Linked DNA regions of Pelodiscus sinensis. The protein of the gene in region 2 interacts with the protein of the main gene of each other region in a pairwise test. Links are inferred from orthologs where the notes say so. Each region holds a gene or a part of one and is shown on either strand. Other genes may lie near its edges. The genes, in order: FOXA2, TLE1 and transcription cofactor HES-6-like.

Region 1 (9,213 bases), on a different chromosome or scaffold from region 2:
TAGTTTTTGTGAAAATCTGGCTCTTTGGGACCAGAATACACATTTATAAGCCATAAATAAAGCATACAGAAACGATAAATTAATCAGATCCAAGTAGTTTACTCGCCCGGTAACATCAAACGTTTGTATCAATTACAACAATCTAGCCTGACTTTTTTTTTTCTTTTTGTGATTTTTTTCTCTCTTTTTTTTTTTAACCTTTTTTTGGTGTTTTTTTTTCCCTCCCACTTTTTACACAACATGACAAGACTTTTGGTCCTCCCTTTCCGAACTAGCCTGGTTTCACACCGAATTAAGTTTTCCGTCACTTTCACACACGCACGCACAGGAAAAAAAATAGATATATTTATAACTCCCTGCAACGAAAAAGAGGACCCCACCCTCCGCTGCCCAGGACATCAAATAACGCCCCTCCCCCCCCAAGAAAGCACCCCAAGTCTCCGATTGAAACGGGGGTTTCCGGGGCCAATCCGGGGCCCGATCCGTTGGCCTTTGGACCGGGCTGGGAACGTGTCCTCGGAGGTCGGTCCCGGACACAAAATAGACACAATAGCTGGAGCCACGAACGCCGGCGAGGGCCGACCTCCGTCCCCTAGCCGGGTGGGGCCGGGGAGCCCTTTCAGGACGAGTTCATGATGGGCCGAGCGTACACCCCTTGGTAGTAGGCGGCGTCTCCGGCCAGCGCAGAGGGGTCCAAGCCACCTTTGTTCGTGACGGGCCCCATGGCCAGGCTGCCGGGCATGGGGGAGCCGTAGCCGGAATAGTGCATCACCTGTTCGTAGGCCTTGAGGTCCATTTTGGGGGGGTGGGGGTGCGGGTGGGGGGGCGGCGGCGGCTCGGACATCAGGTTGTTGATGGAGAAGGGGTGGTTGAAGGCGTAGTGGTGCTCGGGCTTGAGGTGGGCCGGGTGGGCCAGGTGGTGGGGGGCCAGCAGGTGCTGGGCCGGCGAGGGGGCCTGCTGCGGGGGGGTCCCCGCTTTGAGCTCGGCCAGGGCCCGCTTGTGCTCGCGGCAGGGCGAGGCGCCGGGGTGGGGGGACTCGGCGGCGCTGTCGGAGCCTCCTTCCCCGGCTTGGGGGGCCGCCTGGGGGGCCGGCGGCGGCTGCTTCTTGCCCCCGCCGCCTCCTCCGCCGCCCCCGGCCCCCGCTCCTCCCCCGCCGCCCGCCTCCTTGCTGCGCTCGCACTTGAAGCGCTTCTGGCGGCGCAGGTAGCAGCCGTTCTCGAACATGTTGCCGGAGTCGGGGTGCAGGGTCCAGAAGGAGCCCTTGCCCGGCTTGTCGGGCGAGCGGGGCACCTTGAGGAAGCAGTCGTTGAAGGAGAGCGAGTGGCGGATGCTGTTCTGCCAGCGCTGCTGGTTCTGGCGGTAGAAGGGGAACAGGTCCATGATCCACTGGTAGATCTCGCTCAGCGTCAGCATCTTGTTGGGCGACTGCTGGATGGCCATGGTGATGAGCGAGATGTAGGAGTAGGGCGGCTTGGCGTGCGTGTAGCTGCGCCGGTAGCTCTTGGGGTCCCGCGCGCGGCCGGCCAGGTTGCCCTGCCCGTACATGGGGCTCATGGGCGTCATGTTGCCGTAGGGGGCCAGCGAGCCCCCCTGGGCGCCCATGGGGCTCAGGCTGGGGCTGAGGTGGGCCCCCATGCCGCCGCCCATGGGCCCCGGCCCGGGGGACATGCCGGCCAGAGAGGGGCTCATGCCGGCGCCGTAGGAGACGTTCATGGAGCCGGGCCCGCCCAGGCTGGCCGCGCCGCCGCCGCTCATGGCCGACATGCCCATGTAGGTGTTCATGCCCAGGCCCGCGTTCATGCCGCTCACGGAGGAGTAGCCCTGCGAGGGGAGAGGAGCGGGAAGGGGGGAGGTTAACGCCGCTGCCAGGCAGTGCGGGCCGCCCGAGCGAGGGGGCTGGGGCGCCCCCCAAGCGCGCCCCCCCCTGCCCCCGCTCCCCAAGCCCCGGGGCGCGCTGCGCTCTGGCGGAACCGCAGCCGGCGGCTCCCCGCAAGAGCAGCGCCGGGAGAGGGAGCGGTCGCCCCGCGCTGGGGCAGTGGGATCGCGGGGGGGGGGGGGGGGGCTGGCCGGGCTGGAATCGCTCCCAAGCCGCTGGCCGCCCGACCCCCCTGGATCCGAGGATCAGGACCCGCCGGCTGGCTCGGCTCGCAGGATCGCCCCCTGCGCGTTGCCCCCTTCCGTCCCCAAACCCCGTCTCCGGCCACAAACTTCTCCCCGGTCTGCCTTGGCCCCCCTCCCGCCCCGGTCCCCCCCGGCGGTTCCCCTGCCAAACACAACTTTGTGAGGAGAGCGCGGGCCGGGCAGAGGATTTGGAAGCGGCGCGAGTCAATATTTGAGCACAAAGTTAATATTATCTCACGGCTCACCCGGCGCGGCAGCCGCCCCGCGCCCTGCTCGGGAGGGGGGGGGACAGGCACACACCCCCACCTCCCCCCCAGGAGCCAGCCGGGCGTCCTACCTCGGGCTCGGCGTAGTAGTTGCTCCAGTCCGCGGGTTCGTGTCCTTCCATTTTCACGGCGCCCAGCATACTGGAAGCGGAGTGCATGGCCGTTTAAAATTTAACAGCCACCACCGACGACAGGAGAGAGAACAACCCAAAAAAAAACCAACCCCCCCCCAGCCCTCCCTCCCTCCCCTCCAGACTCACTCCCGCGCTGCCTGCCTGCGAGGGGAGGGGAGGGGAGCAGGCTGCTAGCTTGGGGTGGATGCTTTTTTTTTTTTTTTTTCCTCCTGCAGCCGCTGCTTGGGTGAGTGGTGGGGGGTTTTTTTCAGCCCAGACTCGCCCGGAGGCGCTGGGGAAAGGAGGAGGCGCAGGACGAATGCAGCTGCTGTGACGTGGGGGCCTGGGAGATATAGCACCGGGGGGCCCCCCGGCCGGCCTCCAATCCCTTCTTCCCAGGCAGCCGATTTGAATAATCAGCTCACACCTAAGCGACAGGGCACCTGCCCGCGGCGGGGGCGGCCGGATCGGGCCCCAGGGCGAGCGCGCTGCGGCTGGACCCGGCTTGATGGGCCCCTGTTTTGGCCTCTGTCCGGGGGCGGGGAGGGCATGTGGGGTGCTCTGCAGTGAGGACCGCAGCAGTTCCCCTTCCCTCGCTCCCTCCCCAGCTCTGGACTCTTCCTGGTTTGCGAGCCTGGCTGCACGGCCCTCGGGGCTCGCTAGCCGGCCACCCAGCCCGAGCCTGGCGCTAATTCGAATCCGGGCTGTTTACACACCTTCGGCCCTCCCGACGCGGCTCCGGGCGCGCGCGACCCGGCGTCACTCCGCTCCCGAACCGAGCCGCAGCAGCGGCGGGGGTATCACGCCGCATTCCCCCCGCGCCGCCTGGGGCTTAGGAAGGGGTGAAATGGCTGGGGAGCGCCCATTCGGCGGCGGCAGGGCAGCCTGGCCCGCGGTTACCCAGCCACCGCCGAGGTAACTAAAACAAACAGGGGCAAGGTGCGGGAGCCAACAGCCGGGGCCCGGGACCTGCGATTGTCTCCCGCAGCCCGGAGCAGCGTCTCCTGCGCCAGCGGCTGCCCCCAGGAACTACCGGCCAGGTCCCAATTCACCCACAACGCCTTCCCAGCGGGAACGACCCCGCATCCCAACGCTTGGCCGTGGGAACTAGCCCCGTCCCCGGCCAGCTCGCCACGCAGCCCCCTGGGAAGGGGACGCGGGGTCATGGGTCTGGGACACGCTCGGCCAAGCTTCCTCGCGGGGCCTGCTAATTGAGAGTCCATTTTGTAACTAGTGGGGGATTCTTTTCCCGTGTCCCTGTTTTCTTAGATAGATGGATGGATGGATGGATGTGTATGGAGAGAGAGAGAGAGAGAGAGAGAGAGAGAGAGAGAGAGAGAGAGAGAGAGAGAGAGAGAGTGTGTATGGGGAAAGAAAGAAAGAAAGAAAGAAAGAAAGAAAGAAAGAAAGAAAGAAAGAAAGAAAGAAAGAAAGAAAGAAAGAAAGAAAGAAAGAAAGAAAGAAAGAAAGAAAGAAAGAAATCAGACAGACAGACAGACAGAGGAGGTGTATGGGGATCGATAGATAGATAGATAGATAGATAGATAGATAGATAGATAGATAGATTAGATAGATAGATAGATAGATAGATAGATAGATAGATAGATAGATAGATAGATAGATAGATAGATAGATAGATAGATAGATAGATAGATAGATAGATATGGTGTATGGAGAGAGAGACAGGCAGACAGACAGAGAGAACACTACTTGCTCTTCTTGCCACAGTTGTTCGACCAAAGGCTGGAACTTGTCTTTATTTTCTGAGGATACTTCAGCCGCTGTTTGAGACATTAAACGAAGTCAAGTGTCTTTAACAGCTTCGGCTCATGAGAGATTAAACGGTCTTTCTCGAGGAATAGAAAACAGCGATTCTGCGAAGGGGAGTGATCCTATTTCGTTGCCAATACCCCGCAGACACCTGGTCTCCATCCGAATTTTGAAGTTAAGGTTGTAAAGAGAACAAGTGATTCTAGTTTTGTCTGACAAAATTCTGTCGTAAAAAAAAACAGGGGACGGTGTCCTGGCATCATCCATTATTTTCATGTACAAATGTCCACTGAAATCGACACCCTATCTATCTATCTATCTATCTATCTATCTATCTATCTATCTATCTATCTATCTATCTCCATACAACCCATCTATCTATCTATCTATCTATCTATCTATCCCCATACATCCCCTCTATCTATCTATCCCCATACACTCTATCTATCTATCTATCTATCTATCTATCTATCTATCTATCTATCTATCTATCCCCATACATCCCCTCTATCTATCTATCCCCATACACTCCATCTATCTATCTATCTATCTATCTATCTATCTATCTATCTATCTATCTATCTATCTATCTATCTATCCCCATATACCTCCGCTATCTAGCTATCTGGCTATTTATCGGCATACACCTCTCTCTCCCCCTCGTCCCCATACACATCTATCTGTCTGTCTTACAAAACTTCTCCCTAAAAAGATATCACTATCAATAAATGGCGTAATATGTCCCACTAACTTTTCTTTCAAAGAAGACAAACACTTCCCAACTCTAAGAACGAAGGTTTTATAATAATTATAATATAATGCTGATATAGACCGCCCCAGAGGTTTTTCATTTACACGCAGACACTCATAAAATGAATAATTTTATAACGGGTACAGACATGTCTAAAGAAGCCAACAGTCGATTAAACAGAAATGTTAAAGGACGCCAACAAAAAAAATCAGCCAACGTGATTTTGTGAGAAACTGAATATTTTGTTAATAAAAATATGAATCTCTCTTTTTTTATTCTGCAGAATTAGCGGCTTTTCTTCTGGCTTTTTAAGAGTCCGTATTTATTGTTTCAACTAAATGATGACAATACAGAAGCCAAGCTACAGGGTCCCTTGGGAATAAGTGTGGAAAGCCAAGATCTGATTAGCACTCTTTTAAAAAAATAGATAAACTGGCGCTTCTCCTGTGTCTTGCTTGATGGAAACAGACAGTTTTTCTGGCACCTTTTCAGGGTCTTACAGATTAAAATATAGTGGTAGAGCGCCCCCTGTCGTTGGTTCAATGGCACTCCATATTCAATAGGATGAGGGGCCTGATCCAAAGCCCATCGAAGTAAATGGAAAGATTCCCATTGATTTCACTGGGCTGTGGATTAGCCCCTAAAACCAGTGCCTCTATGTGTTAGCCTTCATTTTAGAGTCCAAAGCAGCCTGCTTCTTAGCTTGTGCACAGTGGCATACTGCCTGATCCTTCTACTGTAACCAAATGCTTGTAGAGTGATTTTAGAGCCTCAGATGAAGGGTACATCAAGCGGTTGTTTTTCTTCTCAGTATGACTACACTTTTAAAGAATCCTTCCTATTAAACAGCAGCCATAGCCCCACAAGACAACCAACTATCATTAATGAATAATTGCAAAGAGGTTAATTGGACAATTTAAACATTCCCCCTCCCCTCCCCTCCCCCCACACCCACCCCTACTCCATACACACACAATACAATTGTCTATTCTAAATGTGCTTGTTCCTGTGAGGTTTCATGTATCTTCTGAGCACAGTTATTGGTTTGATTAAATCACTGGGTAGAATTCTGTGGCCCTGTGTGATGTCAGAGGTCACACTAAATTATCATAATGGTTCATTCTAGCCCTTTAGTCTGTGTAATTCTTTTTGGGGCCCCTTGAAATGGCTGCCAGTGTCCCTAAAAGCCACCTGATCTGGCTACAGTGGATTCCTCCAGGGGGAAACCACCTTCTGAGGACACACTTGCAGGCTTTGGTGTAGGGAGGTTCGAGGAGGAAGGGACATTCTGAGCACACTGCAGCAACAGAGAAAAGAAAGGAAGGAATATTGTGTCCATTTTACAGATGGGCAACTGAGGCCAGGGAAGATGTGGGTGATGGGCTCTTCACTCACCTGTCAAAACTGGGGCAAGATCTGTTTTAGGGATGGAGCAACTATTTTTTGGTGTTGGTCATCCACTACATCACATTAGAACAGTGCATGTGGCTTGTACTTCAGTGTTTCCTTCCACGCTCCTCTCCCGCTCAGTTTAACCATATGCAATACAACAGAAAAATGCATTGCTTGAAAGGGAAAATATAAGGAGCTGATTAAGTAAAATCAATTAAGAGGATGTTGCATATAAATAATTGAGGGTGAATGACCCAAAGATCAGCTATTTCTAGTTTAGTGCTTGACATTAAGTTAAATCTTTTTTGGCATGGTTCTGATGGGAGGTGACTTTTTTCCCCAGGTATGAAATCAAATGGCAACAGTGCCACGAGGAATGATTACGTGATCGTGTTCTAACCGTCTAACAGATGTCAAGGGCAAAATAATTCCCCTGAGTTCAACAATAGTAGGAGCAAGTCCTTAAAGAGGATTTTCTAGCACCAATCAGATTGTCCAGCCTACACCTACACAGCGCTTAACACGCGGTTAGACTTGCTATTGATCTCGGCAGGGTTCCTCACAGCGCATACAATTAAGCACATCGATAAAGCTTTGCTGGCTCAGAGCCTACATTTATCCTAGGTCTGGCCTGCACCTAAAAGTGAGATCAGCTCTAACTACACCACTTAGAGCTGTGAAAAATGTCAGCCCCTTCCCACTGCAGATGCAGCTAAGTCTTTCTCTCATCCAACCTAGCGACCGCCTCTCCGGGAAGTCCGTTAGTCACAGAGATGGAAACAAGGATCTTCCCCCAGACCTGAGAGGTTCCAAAAGGATCCTGTGGGATTTCTCTTTTCTCTTTTACTAATGCTGAGATTTCTGCCCCAAATATTCTAATTCGAGGGCCTTTCCCGACTACAGAAGAAGACCCCAGGTCTGCCCCTGCAGTCATGCCGTTGGATTTCTACGGTTAACCAGATGCCCTCTGTGTTCACATTTTGCAGGGCTGGCGGGTGCACTACAGATGTCCCTGGAATGGCATATACTCTCCATAGGTCTGGTCCCATGACCAGAACCACTCCTGAGATCCTCAAGTTCTGTTGCTCATTTACACCCAGGCCTTTGACGGGAATGTGCCAGTGTCAAAGTGTAATTTGCACCTTAAAGTAGGCGTAAATTGCATTTCCACCAGAGAATGTCACAGGGCATTTGCAAAGGTCCTTTAAAAATGGATCTGGGAGAGCAGGAGTAAGACAGGAGAGTCTGAACCTTTTAGACCCGCTGCTGCGATGCTTTTTAGAGTGTGTGATGGATCTTTCAGTCCCAGCTGGTCGACAGACAATCAGCTGGTGTCATTCCCTTGCCTGTTACTACATGGATACTTAGTAGTAACTGTTCTGTTTCAGAAGTTTCAGTCATCTAAAGAAGTGGGCTGTGCCCACGGAAGCTCATGATCCCATCTACATGTTTTGTTTGTCTATAAATTGCTACCAGATCATTTGCTGTTTTTTTCTGTAACAGACTAACTCGGCTACCCGCTGAAACTCCACCCTGGTAGTTCTCTCCACGCTGGAGAAGAGTGAGAACTCACTAGCCTCCAGATGTCTGTGCACCTGGCCCCTAAAAGCCTGTTAAAACACCGCATTCTCCCAATCCAAGGGAAGGCACTATGGAAGGGAAACTACGGTAACCAGGACATTTCAAACCAAGGCCCCTTTTCTCCTGGAGGAAGCTTGCCCTTCCAGCACCCACAGGGAGCAACGGAGGTGTTAATCTTTGTTTTCTTTCCACTTTCTGCATACAGTGATGCAGAGATTTGCATCCACCGCTTCTCATGAATGCAGGCCGTGGGGTGGCGGGGGGGGGGGCATTTGGGAAATACATGAACCCATCATGCCCATGCTATAAATGGTATCCAGGGACTGATTGATCCTATTTTTTTTGGTTATGAATACACATTTGAAACAAGGGTTGTGCTTCTCGCTTCGGAGACACCTCAAATGCCAAAGGGTAGGAGGAAACGATTTCCTTTGGACAATCGGTGCATGAAATGCCCCGGACTAGTGCCTCCGATCATGTGGAGGAAAGAATGGAAACATAAGGGTCTGATGTGAGGCCAATATTCAGTTGAGAACTTTTGCACAAGGAATTGGCATTTATCTTGTGCTGTAGCAGGGAACTCTACATATCATAACATAAGAACATCAGAACGGTGACATTGGGTCAGACTACAGGTCCATCGAGCGCAGTGTCCTGTCTTCTGATAGTGGCCAGATGCCCCAGGAGAAATAAACAGAACTGGGAATCATCAGGTGATCCCTATCCTGTCACCCATTTCCAGCCTCTGACAAATAGAGGCTAGAGACACCATCCCTCTTCATCCTGGCTAAAAGCTATTGATGGACCTAACCTCCATCAATGGATCTAGTTCTTTTTTGAACCCTGTTAAAGTCCTGATCGTCACCACATCCTCTGGCAAGGAGTTCCACAGGTTGCCTGTGAGCTGGGCAAAGAAAAACTTCCTTTTGTTTGTTTGCAACCTGCTGTCTGTTCATTTCTCGATGACTCGATGACCTCTTGAGGTCCCTTCCAGTTCTAGTCATCTGTGATTCTAGGATTAGCTACAGCTGTGTGGCTCTGAGGCACTGACAGGGCAAACTGACCTCTGGCCGCAAGGATTTCTCATGTAGGAAAGGGATAACACCACCTTCCTCTCCAAGAATGGTTTGAAACTTGTAGCCAAAATGTCTATTTTAGTATTGGTTATAAAAACGTACGTATGATGCACCATGCTTGATGTACGATGATTTGCTCGTA
Region 2 (10,097 bases):
TAGAGTTTCTACTGATGCATCTATTGTGTATAAAAGCTGCAAAATATCATTTTATCTTTCCTGTAGGCTGAGGACAGAAGTGCCATAGTTTATGAAAATTAACATTTATACCAATGATATATTATCTATTTATTTTTATTACTACCACCTATCTTATGATAATCTTAATAGTTCTAGATGTTTTCCAACACAGAGGAAAGCAGAACCCCTGGAGTCATACAGCCTCATTTATAAAAGTGTGCGTATGATTATTGTATACATGCTGATCCCACAACATCTAACACACATACCACTTATCTTTACTAATATGAGTAGCATCAATAGCTTTAATGTGATTATTCACATTAATAAAGTTAAGCATATTTTTATTTTCAGGATGTGTGCGCTTACTATATAAAATACATACACACTATTCATTCTTCTATGATTTCTTTCTGTAGTGAGAGGCAAAAAGCATGATGTACTGACAGGTGGTCTTCATTATAAAGGTCACTGACATTATAAAGTATCTTATGAAAGATGACACTGCACCTAGAAGGTTATCAGGCAGGAGCCATGAAGTCTAAAACAAAGTCTCTGACTACACTATAAAAGGGTAATATCTCTGACACCTTTTTTTAGTCTTATCACAGTTTTCACAGAGTCCCTCCCAGAGGTCTTAATCACCCTTTCCTTTTCCTTCAGCAGGCATGTATTCACTTCCCCAAAGCATTGTCTCCAAGTACTCTGGGAAAGTACTGAAGTTATAAAGGAGCTACTGTAATTATAAGTACTACAGTAATGGATTCAAGTACACTCATTTATCATAAAGGGCTTCCCCATCTGTCTCTAAAGTATGCTCAAAATGCTGTGTATTTGATAATATTAAGGTGGAAAATTTAACACATTTTCCTCTCAAACACTGCATATTGGTTAACTTTTTGTCAAATAGCATGCCTGCAGATTGACTGATAAAAGAGATTTGTGTGTGTGGTCTCTTCCTAATTTATTTGCACTTCAACCCACTGGGATCAAGCTGCAATCCCTGTAGGCAAAAGAAGATTAGGGAAAGGGACTGACTGTTTTTTCCCAGAGACAGACGGGAAAGCAACTCTTCAAGTATTGCAAGTTCTTCTGGCCTCTATACAAATTGTTCCTGAGTGTGGAGAGTTTCCAAAAGACCTAATTAGCAACTCACTACAAACATTTCTTTGCATTAGCTAATGATCCGGCTACACTTGTAAGCAAACAGTACCAACATATCTAATCAATGCAGAAAAACCAACAGAATGCCTATTAAACATCTGGATGTAATTTTCTAGTTAGACTTGAAATAAAATGAAAACATATGCAGGTTCCTTTGATCTCTGCCTTAACAAAGAAATTGTTGATATAAAAGCATACTGGCTAGTCAATGTGTCATTTTCATAAACCCTGGTCATTTCTCTTCAGATGTTCCCAATTTAATTTTGTTGGTTTCCTGCAATCTCTAATTTTACCATATTGTGTGAAACCACAAGAGATTCTTTGGATCTGATTTTATTTGAGGTTTTACTGATGCATAATTTGCTACTGATTTTTTTTTCCTACTTAGTCTGGAAGAATTTTTTAAGGGCAACAAACTGAGAGAAGGTAATCGCGAGATGAAGGAAAAAAGTCATCCTGGAACTTGTCAAAAATTCCTGTTTATAAGACAAATTATTAATTTGAAAAAAGTTGAAAAAATATGTAAAGAGCTGATTAACTGTAATATAGTGAATTATGATAAAGTAAATAATTTTATCTTGTTATAATTTTGATTTTATAAATAAGGCAGAATCTTGAAAAAATACTCCTTTTGCATTTCATTATAACCATTATAATCTCTTCAAATATAGCACTATTATATTACATATACCATATGACTCAGGCACTCTTTCATCTAGTTTTGCTCCTAGCTGTACAGTAAGCACATTGCAACCAAATATTTTAAAATGTTCATCTTCTTTTTCTGAAAGATAATCCAATGAATTTTTAAATAAATAATTTTAAAAGCATAAACCCTATTAAATCTTATACTTGTCTTTTAAATTTTTTTCTTACCGCATTATGGTTTGCAGAGGAGTGAAGTAAATTACAATTTTTAGAAAGAGTTTTCTTCTCCATTAGCAAATTCCAGATAATTGACATTACCAGCATTTTATTATAAAGATTTTGCCACTCTGTGGGAATTTTTAAAAAGTGAAAATGTATTCATATTGCTTGTAACCAATAATGCTAACTGTAAAGAATAAAAAAATAAATCAAATGAAAATCATTCCTCTGATTGAGCAAGATGCTATATCTGAAACCTAATATTATAATAAAACTACATTTTGGGCCTGATCCTGATTGGTTTGTGCACCCAAAACTCCCACTGATGTCATTGTGAGTTTTGGTACAAAATCAAAACAGGATTAGGCCTTGACACTGTCGGAAATCAGAACATCAAATTAGTATGCTCGTAGTAAGGGAAAAAAGTATCAGATTTCAAATAAATGAGTAGAAATTATGATTAAATAGAGATTTTTGGTATTTTATTATTGAAGGCCTCTGCAAACAGCATGTTTATTTAAAACATAAGATTAAAGCAGCTTGATTGTTTAAACATCATTATTTTTAATGCAGTAGTATAATTATTACAGTATAACAGTCTAAAAGAAAATATTACCTTGAATGGGATACAGCTGAGCTTTCTATACCTTTACTCTTCAACGTATCCAAATTTTGCTCTTGTTGCACTGGCTTAAGTATTGAGAAACATCATGGACTCCAGTGCAATTAACATTACATTTACATTGGTAAAAAAACAACAAATGGTCTGCCAAGAGCAGATTTTGGTCCCCTACCATCAGACCATGATGAATTATAAATTAACTACATGAAAGAACGAGTATTTATTTATTTATTTATTTAATACATATAATAACTTTCATTTTACAAAAATCAACCCGTTTTATAATCAAACAGTTCTATGACTGGTTTTACTGCTTATCCATTCTGATTTTGATGGAAGAGGCTCAAAATGCCCTTAAGTCTCTGCTCCTGGCACCTCAGTAGGTCAGAAAGAACTTGTTAAAAGGAATGAGGAAAACAGAGTGCTCTCCTGCATTTGTTAAAACATGCCCTGAAAAATTTAAATATGGTAAATACCGGTAAAGATCACAAGACATTTCAACTTTCATGTAGGTGAGCAATTAAAATATCCACTTTTGTTCTTGTTCCAAAATATACTGCTGTTTTAATGCTTAATCTGTTTATATCTCATTAACAACTTGCGCCAGCAGGCTAAGCATTGTATTAACCAAAGCTGGATGAGAAAGTGTTGTGTTGTCTCAGGTTCCATAACTACCAGGTGCACTCCTACCATATATAATGATAGTTTGTATTTTATAGCACTTCTCATCTGAGGAATCTAAAGTGCTTTATAAGCATTAATTAATTAAACTTCTTACTGCCTCTGTGAGATAGCTAAATATGCTAATAATATCTATTTTATATGAATAAACTGATGCACAGAGAGGTTAAGTGCCTTGCCCATGATAACACAGCAAATCATTGGCAGAGTTGGCCATAGACTTCTCGGAAATTCTGACTCCCAGACTTGTGCATGAACCACTAGACAAATTTACAATCTGCTACCACAAACACTGCCTTCTATTTAAAAGCAAATCTTTGTTGACTACCCTTAGGAAATGGTGAAAGGAGAAAATATATTTTCTTAGCCTTATAAGTATCACATTCAAAACCCTAAGGAGTGCAAAATTCATCTGGTATTTTGCAAAATACTCACAGGTAATAAGAGCTTTGTTTTAGTTTTTGTTATCCACACCTTCCCCTACACACACACACCTCTGTCTTCTGTCATTTCTTAAATGCAGGTAAAATTGGTAATAAAGCAGTTCAAAAATAATAGAGAATTGAATAAAGCCATACATTGCTCTTGTTCAGAGATGTAACGATTTCACTCCTATTGAATTGTAACTATAATCACTTCTAATTTAAATTATATACTGAAAGTACAATTATGAATAAATCAATCGCATACACATTTAAAGGAAAGTTTAAATATAGGGTGAAAAAATGTTTACTATTAAATTGCTCTCTTTATGTTCAAGTGGCTCCCTATAATATTTAGAATCTCTCCACTAGGTAAAATATATTACAGTAACTGAATAAGTACATGAACATTTATTAAAGCATTGTTTTAAATTTAAAGCTATTCGTGCCTGATGCTTGATTATTAAATTCTGTTATAAATAAAATGGTTGTTACTAGAGGATGTGTTCTAAAGATGTTTACATCCCATTGTGGGCTGTGTCAGTGTTTGGCATGGTGGTAGTCACACATGGAACATGTGGAATTGATTTGACCCTAGTCTATTTCAAATAGACCTATAAACTGTTTATAATATTGGAAGTTTCTGAGTGCTTGGCTCTGATGAAACTCCCTTAGAAAAAGTCAGTATTACGCAATATGGACAACTTCATTTCTGTCTGAGGTTACCGTCTAAAATTATATTGCAATATATTAGACCTGAGGTGAGACTTTCTTCCTACTTTATTATGTATCTCCTCTATTGAAATACACTATAAGTGGGTGCCATAGTTTATGCACCTGTCTGTACATAACCTATAAATCAAATATGTATGCATACCATAGTTGTCTGTTAGAATTAGAAAGTAAATGCTGAGATAAAAAATCATAGGCTAAAAGTGCTTTCAATTTACAACAATGAACAGCACTGAATGTTGTTTTTAATAAAAACAGGTATGAGAGCAAAATGGGGCCTGATTTGTGGTGATTTGGATGGGCTGTATATCTGTATTATAATAGCATAAAGTGGTCATTTGTATAATTTATATTTAAATACAACTGAGTATGTATATACATAAGACATTAAAATAGTTGACCACTAGTGGATCTTATGGGTAAATTGGCTTTCCAGCAACTGAGTTTTGTCATGTTCATAACTTTCCTTCTGGTCCTCGAGGTGAATTGTTCTAAGAAAAATTGGATACAGATAACTATATACACACTAACCTCAAAGGCTGCCCTAGTGCATAACACTCTACACCTTAGCTTGTGTGTTTAAGCAGGGCACTGTACGTCTGGCTGTAAAGGCAGCTGGTCCTGCCCTAAAATAGGATGCAGTATTTATCTTTCCATGTTACTTTCACAGATTGAGACTAGAGAAAGGAGGGAGGGCAAAGTGGAGGAATAAACCAGATCCCAGCAATACACTCCTCCCTCCATTCTCTTTCCCCTCCTCCTCCTCCTCCTCCATTCTCTTTCCCCTCCTCCTCCTCCTCCTCCTCCTTTCTCTCTGGTTCCCCCCCCCCGCCCACGTTACTTTGAGTGACAGTTCAGCCTCTCCCCTCTCCTTCCCACCGTCCTTCCCGTTCTCCCCAGCCTTTCTGAGCGTTCCACGGACTCCTATTGGTCCGCTCGGAAGGGTCCTGCCGCTCTGCCAGGAGAGCTGGAGGGATCAGCCGCTTGCCCCATTGGGCAGGCGGGAGGAGTACATCAGCGCCCCACGTTGGTGCCTGAGCAGGCGATTGGCCAGGGTCCTCCCCACCTCCCTTCGAGTGGGCGGGGCCGGGTGGCTGGTTAGCTAGAGGAGTGTGAAACCGCGTGTTAATGTAGCCAGCGCGGGCGGATACATTGTGTCCCGTGTACCGAGAGCCTGCTACTGCCTGGGCGCTGCGCTCCTCGGCCCGCACCCCGCGGAGTTTGCATCCTGCGCGCTATTAGCCATGGGGGCGCGGCTGTAAGTGGGGGGGGGGGTCTGGGTTTTTTTTCCCCCCGCCCGCCGCTGTCTGGATGTGTCACCCCGGGGCGCTGGAGAGAACTTTGTCCCGGCCGTGAGCGGGGCGAGGCGCCGGCCCAGGATGCTGCTGCGCGCGGGGCGCTGCTGGTGAGAGCCGCTGCTGCGAGCGAGGCTGCCGCGGGGCTGATCCACGGAGGAGTTGATTAGCCTTTGAATAGCCCTGCCGGGTGCGCTTGGGGGGGAGGGTGGCCTGGGAGCAGGGGGTGGGTGTTGCTGGTGCCTCTCTCTTTGCAACGGCCCGAGGAGTCTCCGCGGTGCATGTGCCGCTGGAGCCGGCCCCTGCTACTCTGCGAGCGGCCCTTTCGCCAACGCCCGGGAGCAGCAGCAGCGCGGCACTCGCCGGGGACTTTCTCTCGTGCCCCTATCTGCTGAGTGTCCCGCTGGTGCCAGCCCGCCCGCGCCCCGGCCTGGATTTCCCCTGCGGGCAGGAGCCGTGGGGAGAGGATTCGCCCCCGCTCGGAGTTTCCGGTCTTACAATTGCACAAGTTACGAGCCTGCGAAAGGGGATTATTTACGCTGCAGACAGAAGCGGCGGCCGGAGGAGGAGGAGGCGGTCAGGCAGCGAGGGGAGCAGCCACCCCCCGCCTTGTGCCGCCCCCGCCCCGCGGAGCGGCGCGGCCTGGGGACCGGCTGGGGCCGGCGCGCCCAAGGAGCCGACACCTGCCGGTGACTTTTCAGAAAGCGGCGGGACCGAGCCCCCAGCCCGACAACAACAAAGGAGGCGACGGGAGGAGCATGCCGCGGCCGGGGCGCTGAGCGGTGGCGTCTGCCCCCGGGGGCTGCACGGGGCTCGGGATCTAAAGTTGGGGTCTGAGTCGAGAATTGAGCTGCACAGGAGCAAAGCGGCGGCCAGAGCCATGTTTCCCCAGAGCCGGCATCCCGTAAGTAACCCCAGGCCCGGACACCCCGCAGGTGGGGGTGACAGAGCGGGGATCCCCGCTGCTCTTTCCCCAGGGTGAGTGAGTGAGTGAGTGGCTAGTACCCCTGCTTGCCCAGTCAGCCTCTCTCGCTGTCGGGGCTACATTCTCCACCGCCTCCGCCTCCTGCTCTCGCAGTCCCGCGGGCCCTTGGGCTTCCTGCCCTAAGAATAGCAGACCCACAACAGGGCACGAGGCAACTTATTGGCTTTCCTGCTCTTCTCCCCCCCCCCCCCCCCCCCCCCCCCCCCCGGCGTGTCCCTTTCCCGGAACTCAGACCTTGCCTGTCTACCGGAGAGCATAGGGGGATGGGGGTAGGGCGTCTCCTCTCTCCCTCCTTCCCTTTTGTTTTAATGTGTAACTTATTTGCATCTAAATGACAATGGCGGGGCCGGGACGCTCCCCCGCCTCCCCGCCAGGTTGGCTCCTTCCCCCTTCTTTAGTTGTGGCCAAATAAGCTCTGGCTGCTGGACCCAGGGACAGGATATGAGCTCGCCTTTCCACCCCCCCCCCCCCCCCACCGCACTTGATTTTACAGCAGGGAGCGGTTAGCAACCTACTAGTTTTCCTGGGATGGTGGTGACAAGTGTAAGGAGAGTTGAGGGGTGTTCCAGGGTGGAGTGAAAACCAACTTCTTTTTTTGTGGGGGAGGAGGTGTAGTGGGCAGTCGTGATAAGTGGAAGGAGGAGCTGGATCTCCAAGTTTCTCCCCGCTTCCATTAGCACACACAGTTGTTCATGTGTTGCTGGAGGTGCCCCAGTTGTAGGGTGGCAAATGGTGGTGGGAGCAGGTGCTTCCTAAGAAGCTACCTGCCAAGACAGTGGGATAAGTAGCTTATCTTTCATGCCCATCTTATGGCCTTGCTCACTGTTTTTTGTTTAAACATTTTTCTTTTCTTGTGCCTTCTTTCTTCTCTCCTGGCCTTTCTAGACACCACACCAGGCTGCAGGTCAGCCTTTTAAATTCACTATTCCAGAGTCTCTAGATCGGATCAAAGAGGAGTTTCAGTTCCTCCAAGCTCAGTATCACAGGTGGGTGCATCATGTTTTTTTCATACCCAATTCTCCCTGCACCGCAGGCCTGAGGCACATACTGCGTTTGAGGATTTCAGGCTGGTGCACAACGTGTTGTTCAGTGGGGTGTATTTCTTATCTCCACTTTTGCTGGTGGGAGAAGCTGTGTTTTATGTCTGTGTCCAGATGGTGGCGTGTGGAGTCACAGTTAAGTCCTGTCATTCACTCCTTTTCTTTACTTGCCATTGTTTTCATAGCTTGTTTTGCTGCTGTTCAGATGAACTTTTTCTGTGTGTTTTTAGAGCTTCACAATAACTGTCAATATTTGCTCTTGGGAATTTTGTAATAGGCTGTGTTCAGAACAGCAGGTCAATGGGTGACTTTGTCCTCATGTTACCGCATTCCAGTACTAAGGACTGTTGAAATAAGGTTTTAATAAGAACTAGAAGTTCAATGGGAAGCAGTGAAGTCCAGTGGTGAAATTGAGTGTCTGAGTTTAGGACCAGTTTAGGTTCTAAGCCCAGCTCTGGCACTTAATATATGGAACCATCTGTAAAATGCTCAGGATGGGAGTGTGGAATTTAACTCTTTGATAGGATTCTTTAGTGAAAAGCCTACAAAGTATTGGGAGAGAATATCCCCTTCTAACTGTAGGGGAAAATGTAAAAGGCTGGTTCTCAGCTTATGTATGTCTGCACTTTTTTGATGCAAATAAGACTTTAAAGAGCAAATAAGGATTTTTAAAAAAGCATGCAAGTATTTTAGTGTGCTACCACATATAAGTGAATTTCATTGCTTTGGTAATCTAAGTTATGGTTGCTATACTATTCTTGATATATTGCCAGTTCTTGTGCATGTTGCTGAGGTCTCTGCCCATGTCAAGGATGTATTTCCCCTTATTGTATGGACAGTACTTTTGGCATTAAAAGGGAATGTGTCCCTTGGTGTATTGCTGTATCCTGTGTTTGAGTAGAGATGAATAGAGAGTTCCATGTACATATTTCTATCTTTTTAAAGTTTGGACTACACATTCTTCATGTTGTTGTCCCTGGGTTTTATTTCTAAATAGTAACTCACAAAGGCCTGTGTTTATTTTTGATAACTCTTGCATTTAAAAGTGCATCAACTGTGTACTGTTACATATACAAAAGATGACCATTTGGATAGATTTACTATTTTTTTTTTGTAATATGGACTGGTAATAGATTCTTTTTTTAAAGAAGTAGTATCTAATATTTTGTTTAAATTGGAAATATTGGAGTAGTAAATGGTACAGCTTATTTGAAACTAGTTTCTCCATTTACTTTTTATGTACTTAGGAGAACAAAAAATAAAGGCACGCCGAATTTTAAATAATACTTAAAAAAAAAAAAAAAAAAAAAAAAGAGAGAACCTCTTTTCCAGTCTTTGACAAGATAGTGAAGTACAAAATCAGATTTCTTGGAGTAAAAGTCTAGAATTGAAATGCCCTTGAATTTCCTACAGTGGTGTTGCTGTTAAATTCTGGTACATTACATGTGAAGTGTAAAGAGCTTTCTAGTTCACTAAGAGTTAAACTAGTGAATTCGGGCAATCCAATAGTCCTGGGGGTTGTGGCAATGTTTGGTAATCACTCTAAGTATATAGTGTTTTAATATTTAAAGCCTTATTTAGTATGTATTTAAAATGAATCTGATTTGAAGGATGCTATGTACTCTTAATATTCATATTCAGTTTTTTTCTATTACACTAGTCTAATGAGCAATTGATGTAAATACCCATAAGCTTTAGGCTTTTCCCTATAAAGTGCAAATAGGGCAGGTAGATGTCAAAACAAGTGTCAAACATTTACATTAAAGTGTCTTATTTTATTTTTGTAGCCTTAAATTGGAATGTGAGAAACTGGCAAGTGAAAAGACAGAAATGCAACGGCACTATGTGATGGTAAGTGTAAGATTTGTTTCCTTTTTGTTTATAACAGTAAATATTTTATTATTGTATGCTGGTTTTACATTGTACTTCCCTTTATTTGCAGTACTATGAAATGTCCTATGGATTAAACATTGAAATGCACAAGCAGGTAAGATGTTCATCTAAGTTCATAAGTACTAAATTTATACTTACAACTTATAATTTGTTTATGGTACTAAAACAGAACTCTTAGATTTATATTTGAATTCATGCAGTATGTCTGAAAGAGTGCATTGATTCATAGTTGCGACTAGTAAATGTTGTTCACCTGCCTAATATAAAATGATGGGACAAATAAGGCTTGCAGAACAGAAGGGCTGTGTTGGTGCTGAGTCTGAAGTATGTGGATAAATATATAGGAAATGGCTCATTTCTGTAAACATAGACTTT
Region 3 (10,234 bases), on a different chromosome or scaffold from region 2:
TTTACAAAAAAGCCTTTATATATTTTATACAAGGTGTACAAGTACATCTACTGCTGTAACATGCTAAAGTGGGTTAAATATGTGCCTGGCAGTACTTTCTCCCTTCAGCTATAGCTAAATGAAGCACATGCTGTGGGAGAGAAAATATAGTGGGTATATATGAGATTAGGGAAATCACACTATTTACCCTCAAGCTTTCCTTCTGTAAGACTTATAGGGCAAAGCTTTTTTACTTTGATTTACAGGGCAATGACTCTTATTAGCTACAAAATTCACTACTGAACCAAAGCTGGCATGTCTTCTGTCATGTTTCTATCACACAAGTGTCAGGATTTGCACTTTACTTTCACAAGGCCCTCAGAAGAGCCCTAACCAAGTCTTTTTATCTCATCGAAATGAAATCAAGCTGATCTGCCCCAGCAGTTTCCCCAGGCTGCCAAGCACCTCCCTGCTGCCAGGGAATCTCCCTGCAAGCAGTACACTTGGAGGAGCTGGAGGAAAACCATTACAAGAGTAGTTTGTTGGACATGCATGACTGATAGAGAAAATGTTCCAACACACATGAATGCACAGGACTTCACCAGAAGTATCTCATGCAAGTGAATGCAACCTACACTCAATTATACAACACTGTTTAAGCTGCAGGGGGTACTGTGCACATCTTCACTACCTTGGCACAGGTTAGATTTGTCTTCCATTTTCTGCCCTGCTGGCTGGTGAATTCTGGACTAGGGCTTTAAAATGCTGGGCATTTTTGTTGCTGTGGTGAGGAAATAGCCTATGGTTTTACCTTCCCTCAAGAGAATCTTACAAGTGAATCATTTGCCAGAGCCTAATGTTTTTAATGTTCAATTTATCTTTGAGCACTCACTATAATGCTTTGCTACTATTAGTACTAGTGAACAGTGGCTAAGAATAAAATGTTCAGAATGCAGGTATTATTGGAGGGCAATCACTTCTTTTAAACAAATCTGGAATCACATTCACTCTGTGAAATGAGTTTCCAAGAGATGTCATTTGTGCTTAGGGTGTTACTTTTAGTTGAACTGTCCATGCCACTACTTCCATTTACACATCAAAACACCATCCTCCCTCTCTAAAGCAGAAAGGTCTTTACAGGCAGTACTCTCACCTCTTTTGAGAAGTGCTGCTCTGCTTGCTAGTTCAAAGGCAGGTGAGAATTTTAGCACAACTAGGGAAAACAAACAACTCAGCTGTGAAAAAACACCCACATCAGATAATTTAAAGAAAGTTACAAAACAGAGGTCTACCAATAATTTAGGTATCCAATTTTATTGTTCACAGGGTTATTAACAAAAGAAAATTACATGTTTTCATCACCATGTACTTATTGTGCTTCCTCTCCTAGCTGGTTCTATTCTTAAATACCTCCACATGTACTAAGGAAGCAACATCACAATACTTTTCCTAACAACAGAGCTGTGAAAGGTAATATCTTAGTATAAATAACCTATATCTTCCAAAAAATAGGAACACTGAGGTGTATGACCTTGTATACATGAATGCTGGTGCTCCAGAGGTCATTAAGTATTTTCTTTTTGGAGAAAATTTTCAAATCTATTTCACACACTTCAACATCTGTCAATCCTTATAGCAGAATACAGGTAAAGAGACACAAGCAGATCAACTGCCTAGTACTCAAGTTAGAACTACAGCATTACAAAAAAGACTTAATTGGGGAAATCAAGTTAAGTAGTTGCTTGAGAATGGCAGTCACACAACCACTCCCAGGAATTTTAGTATCCTAAAGTCAACCTACAATACCACTACCTTGGTTTCCTTCAATATCCTAAGCATCTTTCAGTATTAAACAAAAACATTCAACTTCCAATACCTAAGCTAGCTATGCTTAGTACGAGAATTAAGTGCTAAATTACCAGTATTTTTCCACAATAGATAAAAATGTGTTAATACCAAACAATTTGGAACTGGATTTTTAATTTTAAAGTGGTCAGAAGTGTGTTACACTCCAAAATACATGCGATCATTTGTGAATACAATATTTTATTAAAGATTAAAAATAAAACATTTGACACCCTAATATACATAAAGTCACAAACTCAAATGTGCTAAAAGCAAAATGTGCATAAACACTCATTTCTAAAAGGCACCCTGCCACCAATATTAAATGTTTGTCTAATTCCAACTGATCTCTAGTTTACTCTTCCTTCACTGAAGGCAAGATTCCAGACCACTAAATAATAAAAGACAATAACCACACCAATCCCTTTCAGGGATCTTTACTTTCACTATAATGCTTAAAATTGTGCATGCACACTTACGTGATATACCTCATTGGTTAACCACCAAGGTATAAAATGCACAAGGGCTTTTTGTTTACAGAAAAAGGAAGTGATATTGAGGCCTTTTATAAGGGCCAAAAGGATGAGACAAGCATGTGAAATACCATTGTGCATCCACCAAAGAGCTTTGCGAACAAAAAAAAAAAAATCTTCTCCCCTCCCAACACTCCAAACTTTCCAAAAACAATCCAACAGTTACCAAACATCTCTCACACTGCTGAATGTTAACACATTTAACAATTAACCTGTCAGGGTCTGACAGTGTAAGAGTGCCATCTCTGCAGTCCTGAAATACAGTAATGGTAGACACACCCAATGCACCATCTGAAAGCCCCACTGTCTATTCCAATGGCTGTAAGGAGAACACAGTGCTCAAGTATTCCCCCATTACTAGGTAGATATCTGCTGATTCCTGTGCAGTTTTCTGTATTTACCAAGGTCTCCACATAGATTTGGCAAAGCTAGGGGAAGGCACATTGCATGTCCGGGAACTGTCCAGTCCAGTGGGGGAGGTCGGACTTTGCTCGGCCTCCGTCTCTTCCAGATCAGAACAGGTCTCCTCACTGGAGGACGGGGAAAGAAGAGCTGTAGGGGGGCTGGCCAGGCTCAGAGCTGCAGAGGACACCCCGGTGGGCTGGGAGAGGCCCTCAATGCCAGGCCAGAGGCTGATGGAAGGCTCTGACAAAACGTCCGCAATCAGGTCCTGGAGGCTGCCTTCGTTAAGCGGCATGGACTCCAGCAGGTGGTTGAGCAGCTGGGCGGCGAGGGTGGCATCCATGCCCGGGTAGCTGGAGACGAAGGTATGGACTTCGTGCATGCACTGAATGTACCCGGCTGCAAACCGCTCGCTGGCCTCCCGGTGCAACTTGTCGCTTTCTGCAGCAGCGCCCACAAGAGAACACACACAGCGGGAGTGAGGGGGCGCCCCGTCCCCCGCCCCGCCCCCTCCCCGCTCGGCGGGGCACTCACCGCGCGACCGGCTCTGCAGCGCGCCCTGCACCCGCCTCACGGTCAGCTCCAGCACCTCGGCGTTCTCCATCTTGGCCTGAAACTGCCGCCGGCGCGGCGAGAGAGGAGAGCGATCAGCCCCGCGCCTGGCCCGGCCCGCCCGGCCCCGCCCGCTGCCTACCTCGGTGCCGGCCAGGAGCAGCCGCAGCTCCCGCAGGCTCTCGTTAATCCGCGCGCGCCGCTGCTTCTCCACCAGCGGCTTCCGGGCCTGGGGAGAAGGGGAAACGCACATTGCACCGAGCGCCGCGGCTCCACCTGCGGCCCCGCTCCCCGCCCGGCCCGGCCCGCTCACCTTCCTGTCCCCTCGCGCCTCACAGGCGCCCTCCTCCTCCCGGCTGGGCCGGCTCTTGCTGCTTCGCGAGGACGGGGCCATGGCGGAGCGCGGCTCAAACGCCGCGGGCGGGGGAGGGGCGCGGGAGGAGGCGGCAGCTGGCAACTGGATCACACAGGCAGCCCGAGATTCCCCCGCCCCTCCCCGTGGCGCCGCTCCCCGGCCTTACTTATAGCCTCTGATTTGCATGTCAATGAGACCATTGGTCACTGCGAGCCGGGAGAAGCCGTAGCGATGAGCGAACTGACCAATGGGAGACCGGCGCTTTGTCTAGCCAGAGGCGTTCTGAATCTCCTCTAGTGCGGAGGAGGGAGGGGAGGCTAGGCGAGAGGGCTGGGAAGGGCAGGATGCTCGAGGTTGGATGGCGTTGGTTGGGGTCATCCCCTGCCTGCTTTTTTGTGTCGATTGTAATGGGATTCACTCAGCAGTGGGAACAAACTACCCTGTATATAGGATGGGATTCAATCTGAACTCCAGCAGAGTACTCCAATTGAAGTCTTTGCTCAAGTGGGGAAGGAAGCTCAGACATGTGAAAAGGGATGGGAACACTGGCACCAAGCCCTATGTTTCTTGAGGAAACTACTCCCTCTTCTGTTCCCACGAGCCATCTGGTACTGCTTGTCCAGCACCTTTGGGCCTGACCCTTGGCCAAACCAGAGAATTTACTGAACCACTCTGCTGAACCAAGGGAGGTAAATATTGCCTAGCAGCATTACCAACTCTTCCTCTGCTTGCTGTGCTCTTAGAATTAGAGCTAAATAATAGCATGGAACACTGAGAACCAGGATTAGTGGCTATGAACAAACAGTTTACAATACCGTTACTGCAGATCATAAGTCTATTGTTCATAAGGGATATTATTATCTTTGGCACTAATAAAGTCCCCTAAACTCTTTCTATTGTTATCAACAAATCTTCCAGGCTACATCATGAACATATAACAGTTACCATTTTCTAGAATTCATGCTACATTTCCAAAGGTGTTCACAATTAAATTGCTGCCAAATTTTCATAATTCCACGAACAAAAAACCTCAAAAAACCAGCAGAAATCTCTTTTGCTCTATTTATTAGATATTAGGAACCAATTTCCAGTTACTTTATTGGTATGTGTACTTTACAGTGTATTATAAATCTCCCTGACAACTGTTTCTTAACAGTATTCATGTTATTAAAGGCATAAAAAAGTAAGAGATCTGTTGTAATCAACAATGTGGGTGTGAAGAAGGCTAAATTGTGCAAGTAGGAAAGCAGATACAGATATTTGGAGGAAAATGCCATGGGTCCAGGCTTCAAGTCCTTACTTAATCTAAACTCCAATTAAAGTCAATGACTTAGGAGTAGGCCCTCATAAGAATTCAATATTATGAGAAATGTGAATATTTACATACAATCATAGACTAATTTAAATTTTTTCTAGGTGATGTTTGTCTTTTGAATACTTGATTTATTTAGCAATTACCATGAAACAGCATGTGTATTCTTCAAAATCAGACTGATCATCAAGTCAGACATTGAAATTCTATAAAGAATCATGATCCAATGTATTTGCAACACATTTGAAAAATTCCTCCCTTCCTTTCTGGATTTTGTTGCCTTTTCTGTTCCTTAACCTAAAGAATGTGTCTTTGTGAATGTAACTTGATGCTGATGACAGTTGGCAGCTGCAGTCCCCTCAACAGACTGAATCAAATAAAAAGCATTAGGTCTTGTCCCCAAGGAGAGCGACAGGTGTTTGCTCTCACTTCTTTGTTTCCTTCTTTTTCCTTGTTGGTAATGTATGTCATATTTTGACTATCTAAGAAAATGAGATGCATCTCGTGTGTGTGTAATCAACATCTTAGGCACAAAAAGACAAATGCATAGATATATGCTAGTACCTGTATCTGTCTGCCTCTCTGTATGTGTTCTGCATAACACTCTTCATTTCTGCTCAGTACTACATGGCTGTGACTAGACTGGCCAGTTTTTCCGGAAAATCCGCCGCTTTTCCAGAAAAACTTGCCAGCTGTCTACACTGGCCGCTTGAATTTCCAAAAAAGCACTGACGATCTCATGTAAGATTGTCAGTGTTTTTCTGGAAAAACTATGCTGCTCCCATTCGGGCAAAAGTCCTTTTGCGCAAAAGGGCCAGTGTAGACAGCTGAGATTTGTTTTCTGCAAAAAAGCCCCGATTGCAAAAATGGCGATCGGGGCTTTTTTGCGGAAAAGCGCGTCTAGATTGGCACAGACGCTTTTCCGCAAAAAGTGCTTTTGTGCTTTTGCGGAAAAGCATCCGTGCCAATCTAGACGCTCTGTTCAGAAAATGCTTTTAACTGAAAACTTTTCATGCCAGTCTAGACGTAGCCCTAGGCTGTGTTTATACTGGCAAGTTATTCCGGAAAATCAACTGCTTTTCCGGAAAAGCTTTGCCACTCCCATTCGGGCAAAAGTCCTTTTTCTGGAAAACTGTTCTGGAAAAGGGCCAGTGTAGACAGCAAGCTAGCGCTTTTCCGAAAAAGCAGAAGAAACGGAAAAAAGTGGATTGGATACCTGGAGACCCAGTAGGAGCCCTGGACTTCCTGGTAACCCGAGCTTCTAAAGCAGTTGCAGGCTGCTGAGTGCACGAGGCAGGAGCGTGCCTCAGCCCTGTGGCCCGAGCTCTGCCACAGCGCCCCTGCCCTGCTCAGCCAGCATCAGAAGCCAGCCATGGCAGCGCCTGCTGGTGAGTCCCCTGCACCCCCAGCTCAGGAGGCCCCCAGGGGCTGCAAAAGGCAGGCTCCCTCCTGGACCCCCAGGGAGCTGGAGACCCTCCTAGACCTCTGGCAGGAGGAGGAGGGTCTCCATGACATCCGGTCCCGGCGCTGGAATGTCGATATCTTTGTCTGGATGGCCGAGGCTCTGAGCCAACAGGGACACGCTGTCCGGAACAGTGAGCAAGTCCGGGCAAAGGTGAAAGAGCTCTGGCTGGGGTACGTGCGGGCCAGCGAGGGCAGGGGGGCAGGACCAGACACCTGCCCCCGTTACGACCGGCTGCATGCCATCCTCGGGCAGCCAGCCCTGCAAGGCCCGGATGTGCCTGTTGACACCTGTCAGCGCCCCCCCGTCATCCGAACCACCGAGGCAGGGGAGGAAGAGCACAGCATCAGCGCTTCGGGAGAGGAGGCCAGCGTTGCCACCCAGCAGGCCCTCTCCAGCAGCTCCTCCAAGGCCGGGGAAGGATCCACTGGTGAGTCTTTGCAGTTTGCACTCACAAGGGCGGAGGGTGGCGGGGGGGGGAGCCAGGCACCCGGAGGGGGGACGGGGAGAGCATGTCACTCAGGCCACGTGAGCTGCACGCTGTGTAGCATTAGACAGCAAGCAGCACGTGCAACCCCGTGCAGCCTGGTGACCGAGTGGCACGTGGTTGCGGTAGGCAGCTGCAGGGCACGCCTGGGACCGTGCTGCTCACACACATTCGGCGGGACCAGGGGGAAGGATGGATGCCGGCTGGGACCAGCCAGGGCCCCAGGGACTCAGCCCAGAGCCCGCACCTCCGCCAAGGGTGCAGCACGGAGAACGGCACACTGTCCCATGCCTGGCTGTGAGGCACAGCCAGCTGCTCTTGGGTACGCCGCAGCGTCACGGTCCTGTGACCATGCCCCACCGAGCCCCTCGCCTGCTCCCGGTGCCTTGACTGGCTCCCCAAGGGAAGTCCCCACCGTGGCCACACATGTCCCTGGGCTACTGGGGTTGTGGGAGGGATAGTGGGAGGGAGAAGGCCCGCCCTGAGTTTTGCTGCAAGGATGGGACACACCTGCCCCCCAGTCACTCTTCTGGTTCTGTCCAGGAGATATCCCACGCGATGGGATCTGAGAACCCAGACCACCTCTGCCAGATGTGCTTTCAGGCACTGTGTGGGGATGCATCTCGCTCCCTGTCAAACACCAGTGATTAGCCCAAAGCTTCACAGTCTCCACCAGCAGGGAGTTCCATGGGTGTACGCAACACAAGCACCCTCCCGCCCTCCATGGGGCCAGGACACAGACCGGTGGTTACAATACTAGAGGAGGACCCTACTCCAGGGGCGGTCCTCCTTGCAAACATACAACACGGGGGGCAAGGGAGGAACCGAGTGGGCCCAAGCCACACAACTGTGGGGTCACCTGTGCTCAGGAGTGGAGGGCATGAGGTGTGGGGACAGTGGACGGCCTGCCTGACTGACCCATCCTTTCTTCTTTTCCCTGCAGCGGGATGGAGCTCAAGACCTTCCAGTCCGGCAGCAGCGGCACCCCCAGCTGGCCAACCCTGGAGGCGCAGGCTCCGACACCGGGACCAGCTGCTTCGCCGCCACATTGTAGCGGTGGAGGCAATCCAGGGCTCCATTCATGACTGTGTGCAGGGGGACCTGCAGTGGCGGCAGGAGGCCTGGGGTGCCTTCTAGGCACAGTGTACAAGGATGGCTGACTCCATGGCCATCCTCACTACGCACTTTGTGCACGCCATGCACTATGGCATGGCCGTACCCTATGACCCCACCATCTCTCCCGTAGCACTGCCCATGCCCCTGCAATGGCCCCTGCTCCTATGCCCCCAGCTCCTGCCCCTGCTCCTGCCGCCCCTGCTCCTATGCCCCCAGCTCCTGCCCACCTCTCCGTGCAGCCTGCCCCGATGCAGCCTGCCCCGCATGTGCAGGTCCGCCCCCGAAGAAGCGCTCGCAGGGGCCACCCGTACCAGTAGCACCTCCCCCTCCCTGTTCCAGTTGAAGGTCTCCTCCCCCTCCCCCTTGTAAATAAAAAGTCTATTGTTCAGTTGATTCTTGTGTTGGTTATTGTGTTACTCGAGGTAACTGTAAGAAATGATTTGAGATGCCAATTAGCCACCTAAATTTAAAAGGGTTACAAACTGTGGACACCAAATTCTGTATTCTATCACCGGGGGTCCCTTTTTAAGTGGTCATTGGTTTGTGGCGCATAAATAAATACTGAGACTTTTCAGTAGAATTTAAACCACTAACTATATTTAACATAGATAACAAACAAGCAAGAACGGTTAAAAGACTCACACTAAAGATTATGTAACATAGTCTAGGTGCAGGGAGGATGATTGTTAGTTGTGACAGGGCGCCTGCCCTGCACTGGGCCTTTAAGCCCCAGGCTCAGGCCCTAGCCTGAGGGAAGCTGGAAGACCAGCTGAGATGGTTAGACTAATGAGCTCAGCTGCCAGCTATAAAAGGAGAGGCCCAGTTGCTGGAAGGGGGAGTGCAGGGCTGACTGCAGAGGCAGCAGGAGCTCCTGGGAGGGATACAGCTGCAGGAGACGGACTGGAGAGGGAAGCTCTCCCTCAGCAGTTGCCGGGGATGGCAGGAGAGGCCTGGAGGAAGGCAGAGGCGAGTTGGTGTCACCTGGAGACTACCTGCCGAGGGGACACCGGCCTGGAGATCGCAGCCAGCTGGGCAAGGCCAGGTAGGAAGTGGCCCAGGGCAGGAGCGGGAGGCGCCCCTCTTGGCCTGAGAGCCTTGGTGGGTTTTGGCTAGCTAGCCCCACCGAGGGAGTGACCCTATACCTGGTCGCTCACAGGGCCCTGGGCCGGGACCCGGTGGAGTAGGGTGGGCCCAGGTCCCCCTACCGGGGGGGTGCCCAGCTACGACGAGAATCCGTTTGTGGACTCGGCCTGTTTAAAGGGCCAGTATAAACTGCTGTGAAGCTGATGATGAGCAACCCATACAGACTGTAACTTGCCCTGAGATGGGCCATGTGAAGACAGTCAGGGGGCACTGAGGCTACTGGGGGGGCGTGCGCCCCGTGACATTAGTGTTGCTGGCAACCTCAATCCTTTGGTCCTTCCGGGCCTTGGGAGAGGAACAGCCAGGAGATCCCTTGACGGAAGATGAGGGCGAAGCTGGCAACCTCAATCCTTTGGTCCTTCCGGGCCTCAGGAGAGGAACAGCCAGGAGATCCCTCGAAGATGACTGGAATCAGGTATGCTGACTTGAACCTTCCGCTCGAACCCCGAATCCTCTTCCCTGTTCTTTGGGACAGGCGATGGTGGCCTAAGCGCTAGCCTAAACTAAAAAGAAACACCCTAACTACGTCCGACGCACCCGACGAACAGTCATGATGACGGCCGATGTGCTTGGAACCGACGCTTTACAATTGGGGGGAGAGGGTGGGGAAGGGATGGGAGGGAGTCGTGTGGGGAGACCCAGGCAACCCTACTACGGGGCTTGGGCAAACATGTCCACCAGGGCCTCTCTGATGCGCACCGCATCCTGGCACGCCTGGCGGACAGCAGCTGTGTGGGGCTGTTCAAACGTCTGTGCCTCGGCTGCCATCCATGCAGGGAGGAAGGCCTCCTCACTGCGCTCCACAATGTTGTGGAGCACGCAGCACACGGCCACTACCTCCGTTGCATTCCGCTCACCCATCTCGAGACGGGTGCGCAAACAACGGAAGCGGGCTTTCAAATGTCCGAAGGCGAGCTCCACCAGATTTTGGGCCTGGTTGAGGCGGTCATTGAACCGGGCCCAGTTCTGGTCTGGCTGCCCCATGTAGGGCCGCATTAGCCAGGGCAGCAGGGGGTAGGCTGCGTCCCTGATGACGCAGATGGGCATA

The links.
Region 1: the proteins of TLE1 (region 2) and FOXA2 interact in a two-hybrid assay, tested with the Homo sapiens proteins (2 studies listed by BioGRID and IntAct). The link is inferred for Pelodiscus sinensis from reciprocal best matches to the Homo sapiens genes TLE1 and FOXA2.
Region 3: the proteins of TLE1 (region 2) and transcription cofactor HES-6-like interact in binary tests that used the Homo sapiens proteins (3 or more experiments, as listed by UniProt). The link is inferred for Pelodiscus sinensis from reciprocal best matches to the Homo sapiens genes TLE1 and HES6.

What each region holds. Positions count from the first base shown.
Region 1 is NC_134713.1:196,616,197-196,625,409, forward strand, and holds the start of FOXA2 (hepatocyte nuclear factor 3-beta), read right to left. Parts: upstream 3,757-9,213; 5' UTR 3,313-3,756; coding exon 3,218-3,312; intron 2,530-3,217; coding exon 2,460-2,529; intron 1,823-2,459; coding exon 620-1,822; 3' UTR 1-619. UniProt on the Homo sapiens protein: Transcription factor that is involved in embryonic development, establishment of tissue-specific gene expression and regulation of gene expression in differentiated tissues.
Region 2 is NC_134716.1:39,160,729-39,170,825, reverse strand, and holds the start of TLE1 (transducin-like enhancer protein 1), read left to right. Parts: upstream 1-5,599; 5' UTR 5,600-6,684; coding exon 6,685-6,708; intron 6,709-7,674; coding exon 7,675-7,775; intron 7,776-7,970; exon of another isoform or gene 7,971-8,443; intron 8,444-9,616; coding exon 9,617-9,680; intron 9,681-9,771; coding exon 9,772-9,816; intron 9,817-10,097. UniProt on the Homo sapiens protein: Transcriptional corepressor that binds to a number of transcription factors. Inhibits NF-kappa-B-regulated gene expression. Inhibits the transcriptional activation mediated by FOXA2, and by CTNNB1 and TCF family members in Wnt signaling.
Region 3 is NC_134720.1:10,123,209-10,133,442, reverse strand, and holds transcription cofactor HES-6-like, read right to left. Parts: upstream 3,932-10,234; 5' UTR 3,706-3,931; coding exon 3,625-3,705; intron 3,541-3,624; coding exon 3,294-3,540; intron 3,201-3,293; coding exon 2,755-3,200; 3' UTR 1,278-2,754; downstream 1-1,277. Other genes in the region: uncharacterized protein LOC142830745, read left to right, coding at 6,351-6,870, 7,871-8,064. UniProt on the Homo sapiens protein: Does not bind DNA itself but suppresses both HES1-mediated N box-dependent transcriptional repression and binding of HES1 to E box sequences.